Mytilus edulis: one gene and its partner. The protein of the gene in region 2 interacts with the protein of the main gene of each other region in a biochemical or structural test. Links are inferred from orthologs where the notes say so. Each region holds a gene or a part of one and is shown on either strand. Other genes may lie near its edges.

The links. The genes of interacting proteins can lie anywhere in the genome.
Region 1: the proteins of wee1-like protein kinase (region 2) and putative peptidyl-prolyl cis-trans isomerase dodo form a complex in vitro, tested with the Homo sapiens proteins (2 studies listed by BioGRID, with this or other methods). The link is inferred for Mytilus edulis from reciprocal best matches to the Homo sapiens genes WEE1 and PIN1.

Annotation. Positions count from the first base shown.
Region 1 is NC_092345.1:76,062,111-76,073,235, reverse strand, and holds the start of putative peptidyl-prolyl cis-trans isomerase dodo, read left to right. Parts: upstream 1-5,900; 5' UTR 5,901-6,005; coding exon 6,006-6,054; intron 6,055-11,125. UniProt on the Homo sapiens protein: Peptidyl-prolyl cis/trans isomerase (PPIase) that binds to and isomerizes specific phosphorylated Ser/Thr-Pro (pSer/Thr-Pro) motifs.
Region 2 is NC_092353.1:56,279,932-56,291,056, forward strand, and holds wee1-like protein kinase, read right to left. Parts: upstream 7,818-11,125; 5' UTR 7,691-7,817; coding exon 7,080-7,690; intron 6,333-7,079; coding exon 6,278-6,332; intron 5,981-6,277; coding exon 5,811-5,980; intron 5,364-5,810; coding exon 5,242-5,363; intron 4,926-5,241; coding exon 4,671-4,925; intron 4,294-4,670; coding exon 4,148-4,293; intron 3,789-4,147; coding exon 3,681-3,788; intron 3,350-3,680; coding exon 3,204-3,349; intron 2,063-3,203; coding exon 1,942-2,062; 3' UTR 1,067-1,941; downstream 1-1,066. UniProt on the Homo sapiens protein: Acts as a negative regulator of entry into mitosis (G2 to M transition) by protecting the nucleus from cytoplasmically activated cyclin B1-complexed CDK1 before the onset of mitosis by mediating phosphorylation of CDK1 on 'Tyr-15'.

The DNA.
Region 1 (11,125 bases), on a different chromosome or scaffold from region 2:
AAATTAAAAATCAAAGTTATACACTGTTCACACTAGGGAGTCACAACGGAAACCAAAGGACGATAACTGTGTCCTGGGACCTACTGGCACAAATGAATGTAAAATCAGAAATATACCGACTAATTTCAAATTTGTGAATTTTTCCATATATTATTGAATGTCATAATGCCTTTGTTATTTCTTGACAATGATACTAAAGAGGGGATTGTTCAACATGCTCAATGACTTCATTTATGGCAATTGATCATGACTTCAGCTTATATCACTGCAAAGAGGTTCTATGTAAGCTTGCACCATCATCAACTTTTAAAGTGTTCGATAATATACCAAGAGTTTAATGAAATGTCCTTACAAAACATACTTACAGTCATGACAGTTTTATGTATTCTTTGAGATTAACATATTGAAATTAGCCTGAATTAATTATGTAATTGATGAACAGTGTAGCAGTGGGGCCTAAATTAAAATATTGTTTGTTTGCCCTTTTCCGACCCTATGTTTTGAAACAGGGTAGGTAGGTAGGTAAAATATTTTATTTTTTTCCCAAAAAAAATAACTAGGCTCGGTATATTTTTTTTCATGGGTAGGCAGGTAGGTATAATATTTTATTTTATAGATACAAAATGAGGGAGGGTAGGAGGGGGTCCTGATCCCGAAATCCCGGGCTTAAAAACACGACATCCCGAAATCCCGTGCTTAAAAACACCCGATCCCGGAGTCCCAATAAAGGTCCTATCCCCCCTCCAAAATCTGCATAATGTCATTTTTGCTTTTGCTAATAAGTTTCTGGGACTACGTTTTGAAAAAAAATATCATGTAGAATGTGAAGTTAATTCATATGCACTACTATTTTGTTTTCAAATATCAAAATATAGAGCTGTGCCGCATATTTTCAACATTTATATATGCCTGGAACTTTGAAGAGTTTTAACTTGCACTAATATTCTGTACTACGTACCTTGTACGCTTACCTCTATCTAAAGGTTTTCTGTAAGAGATAACTTTGTCCTGGTAAAATATGTCCGGGCAGACATACATTACTAGTAGAAAAGGTCCCTAGTGTTTAAATTTCCGAGTGTGCCTATGTTTCCAATAAAAATGCTACAAGACTTAAACTCAATTGTCACGTATTTTACATCGCATTTATAAATGATCTGTATGGAAAACTTGGGCGATTTTACTGCCAAATATTCTCCACTTTACAGGCTTTTGTCATGTCAGATATAAATAATATAGCAATGCTGGTCGAAGGCATTGTTAACATAATCATCCTTATCTACGGATCACAAAAGGCCATCCCTACATAGAATACAACGTCCGTTTACTCAAAATAGTTTGTACACACGTTGATAATTTTGTATTAAACAAACTTTTTTGTAAATGAACCCTGCTCTTCAAGTATAAAGATACAGAGTTAAAGTACGTCATATCATGATTTCAAACTCTAACTGCAAGTGTGCATGTAAAACGCTCACGTGATACCAAACGGACTAGACCTTATACGATAAAGATAAAACCCGAGGATTGCGGTAAAAAAGTTTTGAGCGGGAAATACAAATATAAGATTTTTTGTAGGAACGAAAAAATAAAATAAAATAAAATCTTGCTGGTAGATACAAATAAAAGATTTTCAGGCGGAACGAATTTATAGGGTCGGTCGGTAAAGGGCAAACAAACAATATTTTAATTTAAGCCTGGTACAAGTTTGCTTAAAGCTTTTAGTAGTACAAGACTACAAGCTGAAATTGGTAATCATGAATGGTACAGGATATGTATCTTACACCAAAAAATTATGACGTCTTGAAAGGCTGAATAATTTTTAGGCAGTGAAGTATTCTACTAAGCGTATACGTAACAGCAAAAAATTAAAACAGTCTTTAAAGATGTCATAAATTATAAGGGGATGAAGTCCCCTATTACAGTAGAAAAATAATAAATAAAAAATTTAATTTCCCGCAAAAAAAATCTTCTTCTAATGAACTCAAAATACAAAATGTAGTTCACATTTTTTTTTAGATTTTTAATTTTCCTGCATCTGCGGAGAAATCTACTTACATCTTCAAGTTCGTTTTTCATGAGACTATGAGATAGCGTTTTTTTCGTTTACATTGAATATAACGTCATACATTTGTAACTTAAATAACGTCACAACTATTAAAAATCCCTAACAACAGAACCAAAATAGGAAACGTTATGGTATTATCTGTGAAAGGTTATGGTATTTCCGTTTCTCTTTTAACAGATTTTGAAGTTAAATTATGTGTGAAATAAAAAAAATTAAAAAATCATTTAGACTTTGTCCCCTTTCACAGATAATGCCTGCCTCATAATCATATTATAATTATTAAGACTTAAGTTATCTGTACAGTCTCTCAGACTCAGAATTCAATACAAAAGTTATATCTTTAAAGTTCTAAGCATGGCTTAGTTTGTTTTCTTTTTATAGACCCTCGTCCCTCCTCTAATTGGAGGCTGTTCCTGAGTGCCATATGCAATTTTGATACACATGTATGCCAGTGCCAGTGTTGATCAAGTGTTTTTTTGGAGGAGGAACGCCCTACAGGCGACTTTTCGTATTTAACTGGCATAAAAAGTTCAAAATAAATATATGTCACAAAACATAAAATTCTTAAATAACAAATATTACCTACACCAGTAGTTTCCTTCAAAAGTGAATCAATTCATCAAAATGTGTCAAAATTCTTTCCTGGTGATTTGTTTTGCTTCGAGAATTTTTAGTCTCTTGAGGTTTCTCATTCTGAGGGATAAACCAAGAAAATATCGAAAATATTTTAAAATCATTCAAACGTTTGTAAATTATATCTAAATTTAGAACCAGCTTCGATCAACATAATTCCGAAAGTATATCCAATGTATAAAAAAATATACAAGAAACCTGGGGACGAATGCATTTATTTATCTTTTAGTTCAAGAAGATACATATAATACCTCATAATTGGAGATCCTTATTTTCTAATGTTATTTCTAAATTTCACTATTCTTTATTTTGTTTGTCCATTATTCTCTATTCTATATATTTTACTGCGGCACCCTCCGAGGGCACCCTACCAGTTATTCTCCATACATTATTTTTGGCCTATTTTTCACTATTCTGTATTTTTGCACACCCCACCAATCCTTCATAGTTTACAATACATATCCATATGATATTACAATAACAGCAGTTAACTGTTAAAAAGTATATAGGATTTTTTTCTGAGACAAGTGCCTGTGGTTACAGTATAATACCTAAAAAAAATAAAATAAAAATGGGGGTTCATGCATTTCCAAAGCACCTATGTTATTCATATACTATTTTTTTTATGTCGCGTTGTTAATTATTCAATTAATTGTAAGCATCCACTATTTTCCGGTTTAATGTCTTAAGTTCATTCTTCATTGGATCTTCAACAACACTCAATCACTCTGATTCAAACACAAAATTCTCTAAAACTGACATAATCAAGATAGATGCTTGATTTCTTGATTGACAATATACTTGTTACGTTTGGAGGATGTGTGTTTTCAACAGACTGTCGGCAATCCAATGGGAACCAATTGCATGTGCCCCTCTTCTTGTCGATTTTTTTCTTTATTATTATGAGGCTGACTCCATACAGGAACTTCTTAGGAAGAAAGATGAGAAGTTAGCAATATTCTTTAACTTTACTTCCCGCTATATAGATGATGTTCTCTCACTAAATAATTCCAAATTTGGTAACTATGTTGAACGCATCTATACCATCAAAATAGAGATAAGAGATACAACAGATTCAGTTAAGCCTGCCTCATATCTTGACTTACATCTAGAAAATGACAATGAGGGTCGATTGAAAACAAAACTTTACGACAAAAGAAATGATTTCAGCTTCACAATTGTGAACTTTCCATTTCTATGTAGCAACATTCCAGCAGCACATGCATATTGAGTATATTATGTCCCAACTGATACGATATTACCGAGCTTGTATTTCCTATCATGATTTCCTTGATATAGGGTTGCTGCTCACAAAGGAGCTTTTTAAAAAGAGTTCCAAATAGTTAAATCATCCCTTCGTAAATTTTACGGACGCCATCACGAGTTGGTTAACCGTTATGGAATAACTGTTTCACAGATGATATCGGATACAGAGGCGGATTTAAGGGGGGCAGGGCCCCCATTTTTTGAGAAAAAAATTGGTTGATTATATAGGGAATCACTGAAGCGTGACGGGAGCAGGCCCCCTCTTAGGCAGGCAGTGCCCCCCCCCCCCCCCCCCCTTATGAAAATTTCTAGATCCGCCACTGGGATATGTTCCTTATGTCGTAACTACAACCCACTTTTCATCACGGAATGTGACCTACCGAATTAGACTATTTACTGGGTTTTGTAATAATGAACCTGAGCAACACGATGGGTGCCACATGTGGGAGCAGGGTGTGTTTACCCACTTGATATCACCCCTAGTTTATCATGGTGGGGTTCGTGTTGCTTAAGTCTTTAGTTTTCCGTGTATTGTGTCTTGTGTACTATTATTTGTCTGCTTGTCTTTTTTATTTATTTTATAGCTCCATGGCGTTGTCAGTTTATTTTCTATATATGAGTTTGACTGCCTCTAGCTCTTTTTACGTGAATTCTATACGAGGCGCTCAATTAAAAATGATTATTGATTGATAACATAAAAGCAAGAAATACAAAAAAACAGAGGCACTTGAGGTCTACACAATTTTGAATAACTTACAAATTTTGCTTCATATTAGATATTCATGGTATTCTTTTAGATACAGAAACATCCGTGAAATACAGTTACTAGAGATCGAAATACTTCTATTACTTTTCTAAATAATTAAATCTTTTCATTTCGCTGGCCTGCTGCTTTTTTACGGAATACTATACGCCGATATTTCCGCTTTGCTACTATGAACGGCGAGCTTTTTACATTTTAGAAATCTAGTCAGTCCATTCCTGGGGTAGTTATAACTGTTGCTTCTCTGTTTGCAGGATTTATTAAAATCTTTTCTCCGCTTGAATTGTATTTAGTTTTGTTTCTTTGTGCTAGCCAGCTGATCATCTTGTATAGTTAGGTGCGGTGTGCTTGCATCTTGCGAACCGACTCCAGTCCGGATGGTCCAACACAATACGTAAAGTGCAATAATTGATAATATGATAACCCTGTCTCTATTTGTATTCCCTTTCTTAAGTTGTCTAAAATTGTATGTGATGACCAGAGTAAAGACATCTTAGTGTACTAACTACAGTAACACAATTATAGAGCCATGGCAACAGTGTTCTTTTTACTTATGTGCAATTTGTGATGTTATCAGGTAGTTGGTTCAAGTGGCAGTTATAGTTCTTGGAAACAATATACTTGACAGTCTGTACTAAGGATACAACCCCGGGTGCATGATGGAATAAGAATGATCAAGAATGTCATGTTTTTCAAGTTTGTGTGGACTGATTGACTTTATCCTTATCTACATGTACCAAAGAAAATAAAGATAGTTACTAACTTATTTAAAAAAAATCTTAAACTGTCGTCGAGATTTATATGTGCATTTATTTTGTAATATTTTTTTTGTATGCTAGAGTTATGCTGCCAGTGTCAGTTTCAATCTAATTAAAAACCGATCTCTCATCGCTCCTGTTTCTGATATGTCGCGACATATCAGAAACAGGAGCGATGAGAGATCGGTTTTTAATTAGATTGTGTCAGTTTAAGATAAATATTTTTTTTCAAATTCAAGTATATTTTACGGGATAAAGCATATATGATAAACTTGTCATTGCATAATGCAAGTGTACAAAATACATTTCATTTACAACATGTTTTTATATCATGAAGGTTAAAGCTCATCAGAGCTTATGTATAAATGTTTGTCAATATGAAATAATCTTACTTTATCAATATACGGAATATACACATAGTTTTATCCGCTGTTGTTTTATATATTCGACTCTCCATTTTAAACACTTTTTAACCCTGATCAAGCCGCTATTTCCACATTTTTATTTTTCAATCGGCACGATGTCAGACGTACCAGAAGGATGGGAAAGGAAAATAAGTCGCTCAAATAGTAATTTATAACAGAATTTAACTAGCAAACTATCATTTAAAATTAAGATCGATCATCCCAATCACGTTGAGTCACGAAATTTGGGCTAACACTCACTCTCGGCCCTAGTCCAAATAATTATGACATCTTGAAAGCTAGTCCAAATAATTATGACGTCTTGAAAGGCTATTATAATTTTTTCTATGACGCCTTACTTCGACGTAAAAGAAAAAAATTAAAATAGCCTTTCAAGACGTCATAATTATTTGGACTACTTGAAAGCCTGTTATAATTTTTTTCTTTGACGCTAAAAAAATTATAATAGGCTTTCAAGACGTCATAATTATTTGTTCTATCTCCGCCACATACAGTGAAACACTGTCACTGACCAACAGAAACTGATTTGTATGTAATAAACGGGTGCAGGTCGTTTCGTAACCTGGTCGTTTCGTAACTAGTCTATTTGTAACTTACTAGGTTGTTTCGTATCTGAGACATTTTGTAACCAATATCAATATATAATAATAATATGAGTCGTAGGTTACTTAAAAAATAATAAAAAGACCTATTGGTGTACCATGTATATTTATTTATTAAATAATTGATTGCACCTAATTTTACACTTTACAAGTACAGTTTTGCACATATGCGAATAGAACAGAAGAATTTAAATTGTCCATCATCATTTAGATGTACCCCGTCTTTATCAAACTATTTAGTCGTCTGCCACGTGCTGTGATGTCTTCAATACTTGACACCACTCATCTTTATGTTGCTGAGTTCTTTATTAATCTTTTTTTTTCCATCATAAGGTTTCTTTCATGTTTCTTGTTTTTAGTCTGACGATATTGGAGCCTATAACTACAGAAAGAACACCAATTAGCCAATAATTAAAAAGATTTAAGAAAGTTTTAAATTAAAAACATTACAATATTGTTTTTATTAGATGAAAAATTTGATAATCTTTTTACAATCCCAATTTGTGACAAAACCTCAAATTTGCTACTCAAATAAGTGATTTAAAAATCACTTATTTCAGTAAGTCCCCTGATAGTCCAGTCGAATTGTGAAAAAATTGCTCAGAATGTGGTAAAAGCATCAAACTTTGCAGAGTGTTAGTTGAGGTCATAACTAACATTTTTAGCTATGGACCCAATTTAGAAAATCAAAATGGCGGCTCTGGGCGGCCATTTTGAAATCATGTCCAAAAAAATAATAAAAATAATTAGAAAAAATATGAAAAATATATTTCTTTACCAATTTTGATAAACTTTCGTATTTCTTATGACAGAGAATATCAACTGAGGACTATTGAAGCATTTAGTGGCCATCTTGAATGGTGGCCATCTTGGAAACGTAAATTTCCAATATATCATTATTCGCTATCCTAAAAAAAAATTTGTATTAATATTAAGTTTTATTTGCATTTACAACTAGTTTTGCTAATCATTTATTTATGACTGTTAATATAGGATATATTCACCAAGTGCTCAAATAAGCTATGCGTATGTAAACACGGTTAACAAATAAATGTATGTAAAGAAATACGTACATTCTTTTAATTGCAGTTAAGCATATAGGGCTCAGTTACATGTTTACCTTCAAAAAATGTGTATATACAATATGAGTTATGACCACTGTATGTTGAAAAGGAAAACTGCGTAGCTATTACAATCACTGGAGCTGAAAAAAATAATAAAAAAAAATAGACTGGAAAGAATTCCGTAACGCGAAGAGAGGACACGTAAGGATTTGCAATGCCAGGCAAATACAAAAAGAGCAGACATAGACATTTGAGCTGGTAATCAGTCAGTTGTTGTAAGCATAAAACTGTTCCAAGTTGATGAAGGACATGTAATGGGAGAATCACAAGGCAAAAGGTAATAATCCTTTCAAGGCAAATCTTAAGATCAAAATATATTTTGTCAGGAAAAACGAAAAAAGTCTGATGAGTCACGGATTGAAAAAAACCCAGTAAAATAACCAGCCACAATTGTGATGAATCAACAAGAACAATAACTGCAGGGTGTTTTGTTTTTCTTTCTTTTTGATGAGGTATCTGACTATCATTCATCATCAAGCATCGACAATTATGATCGACAATAGTGTACGTTACTGTCACTTGAACTACTAACCATTGTTCTTTTAGCCAGACTCAGTGCAGGAGATTCATATTTCAAGAGCAGATAACATGCTAAATGTTTGTTAAAACTGCACGATTAGACAATTAGACGGAATTCGAGACACAGAAAGAAAGTCAGTAATCTGTTATCCATGGAATGGGCCTCGCCAAAATGATAGAAACAGTGACGGCTACAGTCTGGAATTGTTTTAATATTTGAAATTGATGATATCTGTAAATTGTACAGTGAATGTTCTTAGTAAATATGAGTTGTTATGAAAGGAATGATCAATACAACACTTCTAAAAATTGAAAACTAGCTGCCATAGATGATATGCAAGAACACATGAATAGTTGCGTCTTTCTCTGGATTCTCAACGAATATGTTGGGGATGTTCTGAAAAAGGCCATGTCTTTTAGTCGTGATGGTGAAGGCCTCTTCATAGTCAAAGTAACTAGAATAGTTTGAAGAGTTAGGCTTACTACTATAAAAAGGTTTACAGGGACACTCAATATAGGCTTTCAAAATGAATCAGTTCCACAATCTTTGAGACATCTTACTCTCTATCCGATGGCTGATAAATTTCAGTTGTATCCTTTCGACTACGAGTTGCACAATTGAACTATTATAGCTGAGAAATAGTATGTTTGTCTGCCACTCAACGATATAACTGGACTGTGTCACGATGGTATGCCATCATGTATCATTCTTACTGAGGAAACTTATGTCTGTTGGACTGATTCGTGTCAACAGCGTTTACTGAGTGTCCCTGTAAAGCTATTTTAGTATCAAGCATATATATATTTGCCTGCTATGGCTATGGTGATGCCTTTATTTTTACCCTTTTATAAAGAGGTCTGTTCTAGAGCGTCACGAATACCTTTGTTGAAAATCAAGAGAACTAATTTATCTTGCTTGTATGCTTGCTATGGCAGCTACATTCCAATTTTGTTAACAGCGTTGTATCAGTTCTTCCTTCCATGAAAACTCCAAGTTGTTCCAGGCGTTAACTGTACAATTTAGCGTGATGTGCAAGCTTGGAGATTAGTACAATACCTCTTCCAGACCGTGTGCCATCAATGTATTTTATTATTTTGGAAAGCATAGCTCTAATGATAAAAGATTCCTGGCTTTCTTTCTGTGTCTTGTACTCTCTGATTTGCTATGTTGTCAAGTTTTATCAATCATCAAGCAGGATATTAGTGAGTTGACATCTTCAGCACTTACTTTGGCTAGGGGAATATGTCTTGTAGTACAGGTGCACAGTCATGCCCTATTTTTGTCGATTTGAAAATGTCGATGTATCATGGAGATCTTCAGATACATCACCACAGAAAAGATACACTTCAGTCATTGATTTGGTTGATCCAGTATCACCTTACATTGTCTGGTTACTTATTGTTTTCTTTCAATTGGCAACTTATCTAGTATGTTTTCCCTTTTACTGATGAAATATTTTGAGATCTGAACATTTGTTTGACATGAGTTGTGCCATTATGCCTTGTGATTCTGGAGTGCTTCTGCAGTTCCATAGCCCTCATTCAACTGTTTTGAATTGAGCGAAAGGAAAAGCATTTCAAAACCCAACATCTTCATATGTTTGCATCAAAAGAGTGATTGCCAGCTCAAATGTATATGTCTGTTCCATTTGTATCTGCTTGGCATTGCAAACCCTCACATTTCCTCTCTTGTCGTTTCACACATTCCTTACAGTCTAGTCGCCCATAATGTTCTTCTGATATCTAGCCCCAGGGTTTTCGAAATCTACAATTTGTATCTTTTCCAACAAAAACTTTCGGTCATAAATTATATCATGTATACGTAATTTCTGTTTTAAAAAGTTACTTAGGCAAACATGTAAGTAACAAAAATTCTGACACTGATATCTTTATTATGCAAACATGTGCATGCCTTATCTGACTTCTTTGTGAATATCAAATATAGATTAGTAAAAAATGTATGAATGCAAACAGTGAATTAATAAGATAAGCAAATAATGATATATTGGAAAATCATGTTTTCAAAATGGCCATCATTCAAGATGGCTACCCTAAAAAAAATCAATATATATGAAGTTCTCAGATGACAGGCCTTGTCATCTGTGATGAATATACCATATGACTATATAATAACTTCCTGCAGTAAGCGCTCAACTTATACATGTTATAAGTCAAAGTGAACACGGTTCCTAAGGAAATGCAAATGTGTAAAAAAAGTATTAAGTAGTACTACGATATGTAAACGTGGATGACAATGTGATCGAATATGATAGACAGAGTGTGATTTGGTAAAACATATACATTTCATTTATTGTTAGATATTTTTAACGTCAATTGAAAACATTTGCGTAATTGATGTTCTTTTAACATTACTTGCATGATATGTAATTCATTATGTCTGCAACCAAGGTTTTTGAAAGTTTTTTTAAATGAGCAATATCAACATAACGAATTATCCTGTAATCAGACAATTATTATAAACGACAGGTATACACATATTTTCTTGCTTTATTTGTACTTGTAAAATAAAATCTCCTGTTATTCTATGTTGAACAAGCGGTGGAACGAATATTGGTTTTAGAGTAATAGTTCATTTTATGATCCTCTTCGTGGTCCGCGTTTTAATGCTATTATACCCGATACACAACAGAAGAATAACTCGGGGAGGAGGGTATGCTCACTTTTTTTCCTATTTATATAGCTCAAACAAATACATTTGTATATCTTCGACAATGCATTTTTTTTTTTTATTTTTATCGAAAAATGACTACATATTTTGGCTTAAAAAATCAAGACTTTTCAAGATGGCCGCCATTCAATATGGGAAATATTTCCAAAACTTTTGTTCAACAAGACAATTGAAATCGGCACTGTTGTTCTATTAACCAGGTTTCATGTCAACATCTTCTCTAATATCATTTTCATGATTTTTTTTTATTAATCTACAAAGATTTAACGGCCGCCATTTTA
Region 2 (11,125 bases):
CCGGGTTTTATGAGTATTGCCCAGCCCAGTGGGAAATACTGGGAAAACCCGGGTTTTACTGGGTTTTAGTGGGTAATACTGGGCAATACTGGGTAATATAAAATATTTGTCCGAATTTTAAAGAGGATTCATTGATAAACACAAATGCAATACATTTAATAGATATTTATACCCTATTTTGTTTGTTTAGCATTTGTCTAGATTGGCAAACTGTAAATAGAAAGCAAATAAATCATTTTTTTTTCAAATGAATATAGCTCATATTAAGAATTAACAATTACATGTATTAAAGAAACATCACATTTAAATAGTGTATATGTACTGTCACTAATTAATAAGTAATTATTCAGATTAGAACACAGATTTGTTTATGTAACAATAATCAGTCCTTTCAATTTTATAAGTGTTAATGGCATGACCCTGTAGGGAGTTTATTTAGCAATATGAATGTATAACATTAAAATTAAAAATTCACTTAGGGCTGTTCCAGAAAATACTATGTCCCCCCCAGGGAAGGCAATTTTTTAAAATATTATGTGGGTGGTTGTATTTGAAATACCAAAATGCAAAGGGAGTGCTGTTCTAATTAAATTTTATTTCTGTGGGTGGTGGGGGTTAAAAAAAAGTGCCGTCCCTGGGGGGGACATAGTATTTTCTGGAACAGCCCTTAATGACTGTAACACTGCAATAAAATGCATTTTTCAAAGTTTGGATTATTGAAACAATACTTGGAAATTAAAAGGTATCTTTGAATGTGCAAATCTTGTATTCTGCCAACATATAACAATAATAGAGAAGAGAATGAAATTGAATTTTCTAGAAATGACTTTCAATGGTTATCTGTATAAAAAGTATATATTTAGCTGTTATACTATGAAACTATAACAAGACTTTACTATTTTGTGTTAAAATAAGCTTAAAAAATCATATTGCCCAGTAATGCCCACTATTACCCATTTCTGGGAGTATTGCCCAGCCCGGGAAAACCGGGGCCCAGGAATTCCCGGGTGGGTAATACTTTGCCAACCCTGCTATGCATCCAAATATTTAAAATACTACACAAATATTTTATTAAAATTTTATTTGTAAAACATACAATAAGCACCTTCTTGTTGCTATTTTTAACAATGAATCCATGGAGTTTACAGGTTTAAATATACCTACAATAAAAACAATATACAAATATGTTGACCTACTTATAGCACATCATTTGCACCACCGTCTGACCTACTTACCTGGAATTCATGATTATCACATAGAGAAGTTTCACTTCTTTACATGCTATATATAAAAACAAATATCAATTTGTTGGAGATGCCATTGTGGGGAAATACAGCCTGGATAAATGTGGTTCTATAATTTATATTTTTATGAATGGAAAACGTAACAATGATTACTAGGACATTAAAATTTGATAATTACTATAAATATCTTTAAATTACAAACAAACAAATAATTTTACATGAACTATCACCAATGAAAATGAACCACATTTCTCCAGCTCTTATTTTTGTAAACAATATAAATTCTATCAGAATACAAGCTCCTAACAAATTTTAAAATAACAATGCAAACAAGCAAAGGTAACATGCTGCAATCTAACATTATAATTCATTATTTTCTTAACATGCAATTTCTCAATTCAAAAAAGAGTCCAAAAATAAAAGAGTAAAGTTCAAAATTTGAGGACCAAGAATCTATGGTCCAAACCAGAGGATAATAAATAAGATGGCATCTCCAACAGATGAATATAAATAGAACTATGATATGAAAATAAACATGCCCAATCTGTTAACCCTTTGTCTTGGCACATTAACAGGAAATATTACATAACAATGTATAACAAATTTATACTGGTATAATAGGGTCCAGTCTTTATACAATTATTTTTACAAATTGTGTATTGCACAGTGTCCTCCTTCAGCGTAAAATTGATTCTCTTTAAAAGTTTGTCATGCTTAAGCTCCTTTTCATTCTGTTTCCAATTAGTCGACTCACTTTATCTGGCTGTGCAAACACGGGGGTATTCTGTACAAGGCACTGGGTAGCTTCTATTAATTTTCTGAAGAGAAAAAAAAAAGGTTAGAATGTTGTATACAGAATTGAATGCACAAATTATAAAATATGATGTTTTAAAAAATTAAATTTTACAGTTTTTACATGTGTGTATTAATATACAACTATTTAATCTCCAATTCAATTCTTTTGAGCATCCACTGTTCCAGGCTTTTTCTACAAGTATTGAGGCATAACAACATTATTTTTTTTAATTTATCTTCTTTTTATGTCAAAATCACATTGCAAAACAATCTTTTATTCTCATTGTTGGAGGCCTTATGGTGACCTTTAAATGCTTCAAAAAGTTCATACTTTGTCTGTGGGACTCTTCTAGATAGTTCATGATAATTCATTTGCTATCATATCATATTTTTTAAATTGTACTAGAACACACCCGTGATATCGCAGGTCCGTGACTGAATTAAAGTATATAACTTTGCGCAAGCCTTATTTTAGTATTAGTATTGTCATCTGATAAAGTCATGCCGATTATAAGATACACAGTTTTCTTTGTTTTCAACTTGAATCTTTCTGTTTGAACCCGTCGAACTGGAACTTATCAATTATTGTTAATATTAATTATTTGGAAAACAAAAGGTCCTGGAATGGAGTATTTTTTAATGATCAACAGCATTGTCCTATATTAGTTATAAAGTTGAATTCTTTGATTCGCTGTTTTAAGTCATGCCCGCTAACAAATTGCAAACTGTACCTATACGCCTTATTTTTAGTCCAGATGTTTAGTATTCGTATTGTTGTCTTAGAAAGTCTTACTGATTAAAATACTACAATTTAGTAGTGTCAATCCTGTGATTATGACCCGTGTATATAGCATATTAATCCTGAATACACCGTTTGGTGGTGCGCCTGTCAGATGCGGAACGTACAGATAAGGTAATAGGTAACAGGTGAATATACTATTGGTATCGGTATCGGACTCGATCCGGAACTTCTTAATTATTGGCAATATTAATTACGTGGAAAACAAAAGGGCCTGGAGTGGTGTAATTTTTAATCTACACCTTTGTACTATATTAGTTATATATAAAGTTGAATTCTTTGATTCGTCGTTTTTACGTGATGACGGCTGACAAATTGGACCTCGTAATTTTAGTATTATAGATATTAAAAGTTAATTTAAGTACCTTGATAACATCTGGTTTTTAAATCTTTCTTCGTTCAGTTCTTTTCTAAGCTGGGCTTTTGATTTTTTAGCCTGCGGACACAAGACAGGATGTTGTGCAATTTGTGTTGCTGAAGGTCTTTGTGTTGGGTCAGGGTCTACCATACTCTTTAAAAAATAATAAAATAATAAATACATTTTCTCTTCAAAATCAGTAGCATATTATAAATTGTGATTCAAAAATGCTCTTTTATTTTGTTAAAATATACATATATACAATAGACATTCAAGACTTCTATATTTACATAACAAAATATTGGAAAGTTCTTTTTCCATTTTTCAAAACAAAAATTATAACCTGTATCAAGCTGCAGATTGCATAATATAATTTTATAGTTCGTTATTACCAATCTGATCAACTTTGTCTAAACACAATTTAATAATTAAATTATTATTTCCCTAGATGTTCTTTAACATTGACAACAAATGCTGAACTTACTTTGATTAGGTGGTTCATTTCTACAGTCAGATGTGGTAATGATGGTAATTCACCACGTCTGATGGCATGCCACTTAGGTCCATTCTTAGGTAAGGGATATCCACCTGCCTGTAATAGAAAAATATTGGTATGAGTGCAAATGAATAAATGAAAGGATAGGTAGGTATTATCTCAAATCCAGCATCAATTTAAGCCACTAGACAGATATCCAAGACAAGTAAATATTGATTCAAACAAGTTTCCAGACCGGTAGATGAAAAAGGTTTTGGCATAGACTTGTCAGTTTTTTATTTCACAACATTCAAATTAAGTGATAGACACAAATAATTATATAAACGAAATATGATCCTTTACAATTTTTTATTGCTACATGTGTATCTTTTTCTTTGAATATTGATCACTTTGAAAAGCATTTCTTCACTATATCTAGGAACTTGGAGGGATTTTTATATATCTAGACAACTTACCGCTTCATACATAGTTAATCCGAGTGAGAAGATATCAGATTTAGTCAGGTTCTCATAGTCATCATTGAGAATTTCTTTTGGTAAATATCGACAATCTCCATCATCAACTGTTGGGTTAGACACTGATGTTACATGACCTAAATCTCCTGCAATGATAAAATTATATTATGTTACAACTGATGTTAAAAGGTGTACAAATATTTGGACAAGGCTACACCTTCCCATGCTTTCTATGATACAATGTATCAATGAAAAAGAGGAATATACTTTTCTTAACAGTCATAAAACTTCATAAATCACAAATTTCTGATGACAGGTAACCAAGTTAAGATCTTGCACTTCATGGGCAATATAATCATTCAAAATGCTGATCTGAATTTTTAAATTTTTTAAAATATTTTCCTCAAAACAAATTTTATATACATGTAATCTTAAATAGAAGGAAAATAACCAAAATTTGGAAAAATTACTGTCCATTAACTCGCTCACCACACAACAACTTGTTAGTTTTAACGTTACTTACCAATTTTATATGTAATGGCTTCTTCTACTTCATCATCTTCCTCCAAAGATTCCATCCCACTCTCAGGAGAGTTCAAGAACTTAGGGTTCCGATGGATGAATACATTGCCTGGTTTGACATCAAGATGGACAAGGTTCTGGGAGTGTATGTATCTCAGTCCCCTCGACACTTGAAGGAGAATCTGCTTAAATTCATCCTCACCCAATTTACGGCCAGTCTTCCTGTTGGTATCAATTACATCAGCTAGACTCCCACCTAAGAATTAAAAAAACTTTAAATATGAAACCTATCAATAGTTTAAATAATTTTATAACCTTAATGACATTAACTTCTTCCTTAAAGGAAACAGAGTAAACAAATTGGAATTAATTTGAGACAGAAAAGGGTGACTTTCAACAATTACTTTTCACATCTATAAGGCTGTGATTCTTTTTTTCTAGGAGAGCTAGTTTCGTTTTTCAGTTTATTATTTACAGCAGATGCACTACTATATCCTTGTATAACTCATTTTTTGTAATCTTGTAAGGTTCTCTTTTCAAATTTTGAAAACAACCTAATATGAAGCTCTTACCATTACAGTATTCATTTTGTATGTACATATAATCATCTTCAGCCCAGGCAGAGTAGTATCTCACGACATGTTGATGTTTTCCTAAAACAGCATGTGCGTACACTTCATTCATGGCATTCCTCCTGAAAGTAAGTAAATAAAATGTTTAGTAAAAGGAATACATAAACAAGACAACTACATGTGGGCAACATTCAAATCCTCATTCAGCTTCAATGTTGACTCTACATTTGTCCAAAACAATCAAGCTTAAAATTTTAAGTAGAAATATGCATGCGATTGTATTTTTTACCAGTATGGTACTTGATAGTGTAAAATGTTACATTCCTTCATATGATACATGTAGCATTACTCAAATGCAAAATATATTTGTTTAAGGTAGTTTCCCCCAAACTTTTGAATCTTAACTCTTATTCAACCGATTGTGTAACCTTGTGTGTAGTTCGATGAAACTATCTGTAACCATTCAAAATTCAAGTTAACCACAATGTTAAAACCTGTAATTTTCAATCTAAGGACACATTAGGTAGTTAATGTATGCCATTTTGGGAAGAAAATATAACTATACTTACTCATACTGGCTCCCTGCTACTGGTGCCTTGGACTTCTTTATGGCATATGTACATCCATCTAATCGGTGAATACATTTGTAAACACTACCAAATTCTCCATCACCAAGTTTACACACTTCATGAAACTCTTCGTTATACCGTGATGTGTTGATTTCATGCAAGGCAATTTTCTGAAAAAGAATGGAGAAATTAATCATTGCTGCTGCTTAAGAAAGTTCGTCAAACATTTATCAAATGAGGAACGTGAACATCAATCTTTTTTTCTCCAAACCTCGCATAATTTCCATCGATATCTATCTGCAGCTTTTATAAAGTTTCCACTTGTTATTTGCAATATCTTTCTTAACTAAACAATGTTTCAGTAAGTTGACAATATTTATTACATTTTAATTTTATTTTTTTTAAATGCTTAAAAGTGTTTATTCCTTCTTTTTACAGCTGAACTAAATTTATACAACTGTACATACCTTTGTTGATGGCATATCTATTTCTATTTCATCAGCTGAATCTTCTAATAAACTCCTGGAAATAATCAAATAATATTTATAACATATGTACATGTACTGATATTTATTAGAAATGAAGGAATTTTGGGTGATCAACTTCTTTCCCTATTCCTAGTCAGTCTGCCTTTGCAACAAAACATTTATTTCAAAATAAACTTGAGACAACTTTGATAAAAGTGTCAAGGAAATGAATTTTCAAACAAAAATATGTACATGATATCATATAAATATATCTACTGAAACGCTATGCAAGGTTGATAAACAATGAAACTTGGAAATATTCTCAACCTTAACTTTAGTCACGATGGGAGCTGCTGCGATTTTACAAATAGCAATTAACAAAATCTGGATCTGTTTTTTTTAAATCTGATCAGCTGATGGCATCATGCAAACCCGAACTAAACACAATGCTATCCTCAGACAAAATCTCCAACTTGACAGAAATCAAAACTTAACAATTAACATTAGAAATGAGTCATCATTTTATTTCTAAACTTAGAATGATGTAATTTAAGAAACAAATTGTTTGAACTAGTACAAATGTAGTATGAAACTTGGGACCATATTTACAAAAAAGCACAATATCTACTGAAATAAGCCGCTGGTTTAAGGTTGATTTTTGTACCTATTCAAATACATTTCAGCTTAGTAACTTGGGTGATCTGCAGACTGCTGTGGATTTTCAAATTATTCCAACTTTTTTCATGTCAGATCATAAACTTAAATAATAAATACTGTCTAATACAACTATATTTAAACTTACTTTTCCATTTGCTCTCTGCTTCTTTTTATACTGGCCATGCCAGATGACACTGAACACGATAAAGGTCTGTTGTTGCATGGTGTAAATGGGTTGACATTGGCCTCCACTTTTTCGCCATTTTCTTTTGAATTTGATTTTCTTTCATCTGTCAATCTCCTCCGTCTAGCTTTTTGTAATAAAGATTTAGGTGTATGAGGAGTATCAAAAAGTCTTAATGCTCTAAGCTTACGTGACGGTGGTGAAATCGGACACGCTTCGTCCGGAGAGATGACATGTTTTCCAGGGGCTGGCACTCGCTGTTCGTCATCCTCCACGTCACCATCATTTTCATCGTCTATTCCAAACGGAATTGGTGATAATTTCCGAGAACTAATAAATGTCCTTGCTGAACGAGATGTAGAATTTAAATATGGTGTTGATATATCCACTTCCAAATAATCTGGCTCATCGTAACTTTCCATACTCGGTGAATGAAATGGGCTAGACCCACCATCGTTCGGGCTGAACTCCCCGTCGGAATCGTGAAAATTCAATGTTTTAACTAATCCATTTTCTCTCTTTCTCAAGGCCGATCGCCTTCCTCTACGAACTCTTGGTTGTAACGTTGACATTTCCAAATCACTTTGTTATTATTGTAAATCCAGTTTTCAAATGAAATATGTTTACAAAATTTGTAAATATAAATCCAAACCACGCTTGTCGTAAATGGCGGGTCTGTCGATCATGTGATTTTTATGACCAATGAAAATTGTCCTCTGTAAGATGTTTATCGCACTTACCAATCGGTATAGTCTATTCCATTGTTATCAGAACAGCCTGGGGCAATATTTTATTTTTCAAAAATTGCAATTTGCTTTACAATCAACAAATAATAGTAAATCTGTAATACTTATCGAGTGTATTATACATGATTTGTTTACACTTTTAGTTTCTAAAGAAATATGATGGAGTACGCTGCTGCTGATGATGATTTCACAACAAAAAAATGTATACTACATCAATTTCTAATTTCTATCACCTATAGATATGATTCCATTATCTGTTATTCTCTTATTACTGTGTTAAACTTTTTCTAAGTAAGAAGGATAAAAAGAACAATTAGCCTAATAATAAAAATACTAGAATCATACACGGATATATGTGTGAGTTCTTTTTTTTTTTTTTGGGGGGGGGGGGAGGGGGGGTCAATCGTCAAACAAAAATGCACAGCAAATGGTCCAGATACACCAACACCATATCATATGGTAGTGCATTTGCCCTTGGTCTCTTTTCCATTTTAGTGACTTGTATTATTCCTTCAACTTATTTTTCTGGATAAGAGACAAGGTGGACCTCTGTAAGCAAACTATTTCCATTCTCAATTTAATATGGTGAATTAATAAATTATTAAACTATGTTTGCTGGCACTCTGGCATGGCAGAAAAATCAAAGATTTGAAACTTTGAAAGAACTAAAATAACTTATAAATAATAACAATAACAATTGTTTTATGTGTTGTGATATTTTATATGTTTATAGATATATATTCTTTAATATTATCTCATCCTCTTCGTGTGAATTATAATTTTTATTTTATCTTCATTATATGTCTTATATGTTTATGTGTTAAGAATCAGAATGTATTGTGTATTGTTGTCATTATGTCCCATCAGGGAAAATAAAGAACTTTGAACTTTGACCTTTATACAAAAACATTAACTAAATCAAAACATGCACAGTGCAGCTACGAATGGTTTTAAATCTAACTTGAACAAGGCTTATTTGAAGCGTCATCATACATTGCCAAACAAAATGTGTGCTCACTTTTAGGAATTCAGCTACCTCATTGTTAACTGCCGTTAATTAAGGTCCAGAAAAGTCAGTCAACGAGTATATTTTACATTGTGTGTATTTTTTAAATGTTTGTTTTTTAACGGAATCAGTATATTAACAGATAATGCACTGAAAAAGGATGTAAACGTTTTGCAAAAGTATTAAAAAGACTTAAGTATATCTGTAAAAGCAACTTTTATTTCAATTCAAGTTTATGCCCATTCAAGTTAGCTACCTAAAGTTGTTGATGTCTGTGTCATTTTGGTCTTTTGTGGATAGTTGTCTCATTGGCAATCATACCACATCTTCTTTTTTATATTATTCAAAATAATTCGGCAAGTCGTATAAAAGATGAGAAATATATGAGCCATATGATGAGGCAAGATCAGTATCATCTTTAAGGTAGAAGGAAGGTGTATGCATGATCGCATCTTTTGTCGTATATTTATATTGATAAGTTTACTCTTATTCAATTTTAAGTAAGCGTATAATGATTTCAAGAGACCCAATTGTCCATGTTCTTCGTCCCCCGCTTGTTTACTAAGTATACTTTTAACCTCTTGACTGAAATTTTAATTGACCTGATACAAAAAAAATGACACTGATCCCTTGCGCTAATATGGTAAGGATTTTGGTACACTAGTGTTATGAATTTGACATTTGCAATGATTCATCTAAACCAGCGGGTGACGTCATTTATCAGCAGGTGAACTTCAAAGGTGTGAAGCCATGCAGATTCATATTTATTGCAGAAAAAACACGAAGTGTGTTGTATGTTACACCTCTAGGTGTTTGTTTCTACTGCTATTTGTTTAATTTTGCCAGTTTATCTAATTTTATTCTTTGTTTCTTAGATTTATAGAAAATATTTCTTTTAAACTCCGATAATTGATAAAAATGTACCGGCAGTAATTAATTCGTGTTATCGTTAATAAACATTAGTTTATCTGTTATGTGATATTTCGTATAGCAACATAAAACAGTGTGAATTTTTAATTTCTTATCATATTTATATTAATCTTAAACCAGACAATAAAACATGTTTTTCTTATAAATATCCTTATCTATGTATTTTTATCACATTTAATTGTCGTAATATTCTTTTATTTGTGTTTAAATGAAACATATAAATCATGTTTATACTTATGACTAAATTCCCATCACTTTGATTCCACAACATTTAACAAAATCCTCAAACAAATTCTTTAATGAATCCCATGATATTTTCTAAGCAACTCTTTCAACATCATACAACTAATTTGACGGGGACTTGTTATGCAGGGTATAAAGTAATGCTGCCTCTTTCTTTAAAATATATAATTGATTTCTTTTCATTGTAAAATATGTGTTAACTATTTGCCACTGGTCGTTCAGCAAATGAATTTAGAAGCAATCAGTCTTGCTCAGTAAATATTATACAAAACGAAAAAGCTTTTTGATAAGCTTGTTCTTTTTTAATATGATACAGATGAAAAGTAAAACAATCAATTTGTTAATTTCTTTTCTTTTTACTCAGCTCGACAATCTTGCAGCATGTTCGAATATTCGGTCATAAAACAGATTCTTATTAGTTGATTATCATTTTTTTATGAGGAGATCTTTCTACAACAAACGACTGAACAGCCAGAGACTTGATGCAATGTGGGGGTTTGGAGGTTGAAATTTGCAACTCAGGCCAAAAATTATTAAAATAAATCCCAACCATGTTTATAGTTATTAAACCTTTTTAAAAGAACTTTAATTATTCTTTAGATGGTTTCTGTTTATATGCGTGAACTATTTGCCATTGTCGTTTGTCTTGTGGTAACGTGCTCGTCTGCAGTGCCGTAAGTTGTTGCTTATCATCAAGACGGGTGCCATGTGTGGAGCAGGATCTGCTTACCCTGCCGGATCACCTGATATAAACTCAAGTCTTTGGTTGGGATCGTGTTATTTGGTCTTTAGTTTTCTGTGTTGAGTCTTGTTTTCTATTATTTTTCTTTTTTTAGCCATGGCGTTGTCAGTTTATTTTCGATTTACGAGTTTGAATATCGCTCTGGTATCTTTCGCCCCTCTTTTTAAATCTCTGTTAGGGTGAAACTAAAGAAGTTACTTAATATTTGCTGCTTCTATATACAATATGCAAGCGTCATTATAAGGGATACTATATAGAGCTAGCAAAAACTTGTCAGTTCTGAGTCTGAGTAATGTTTTGGTGCTGCTTGGGTGACATGTTTTCCTGCTTACATATATAG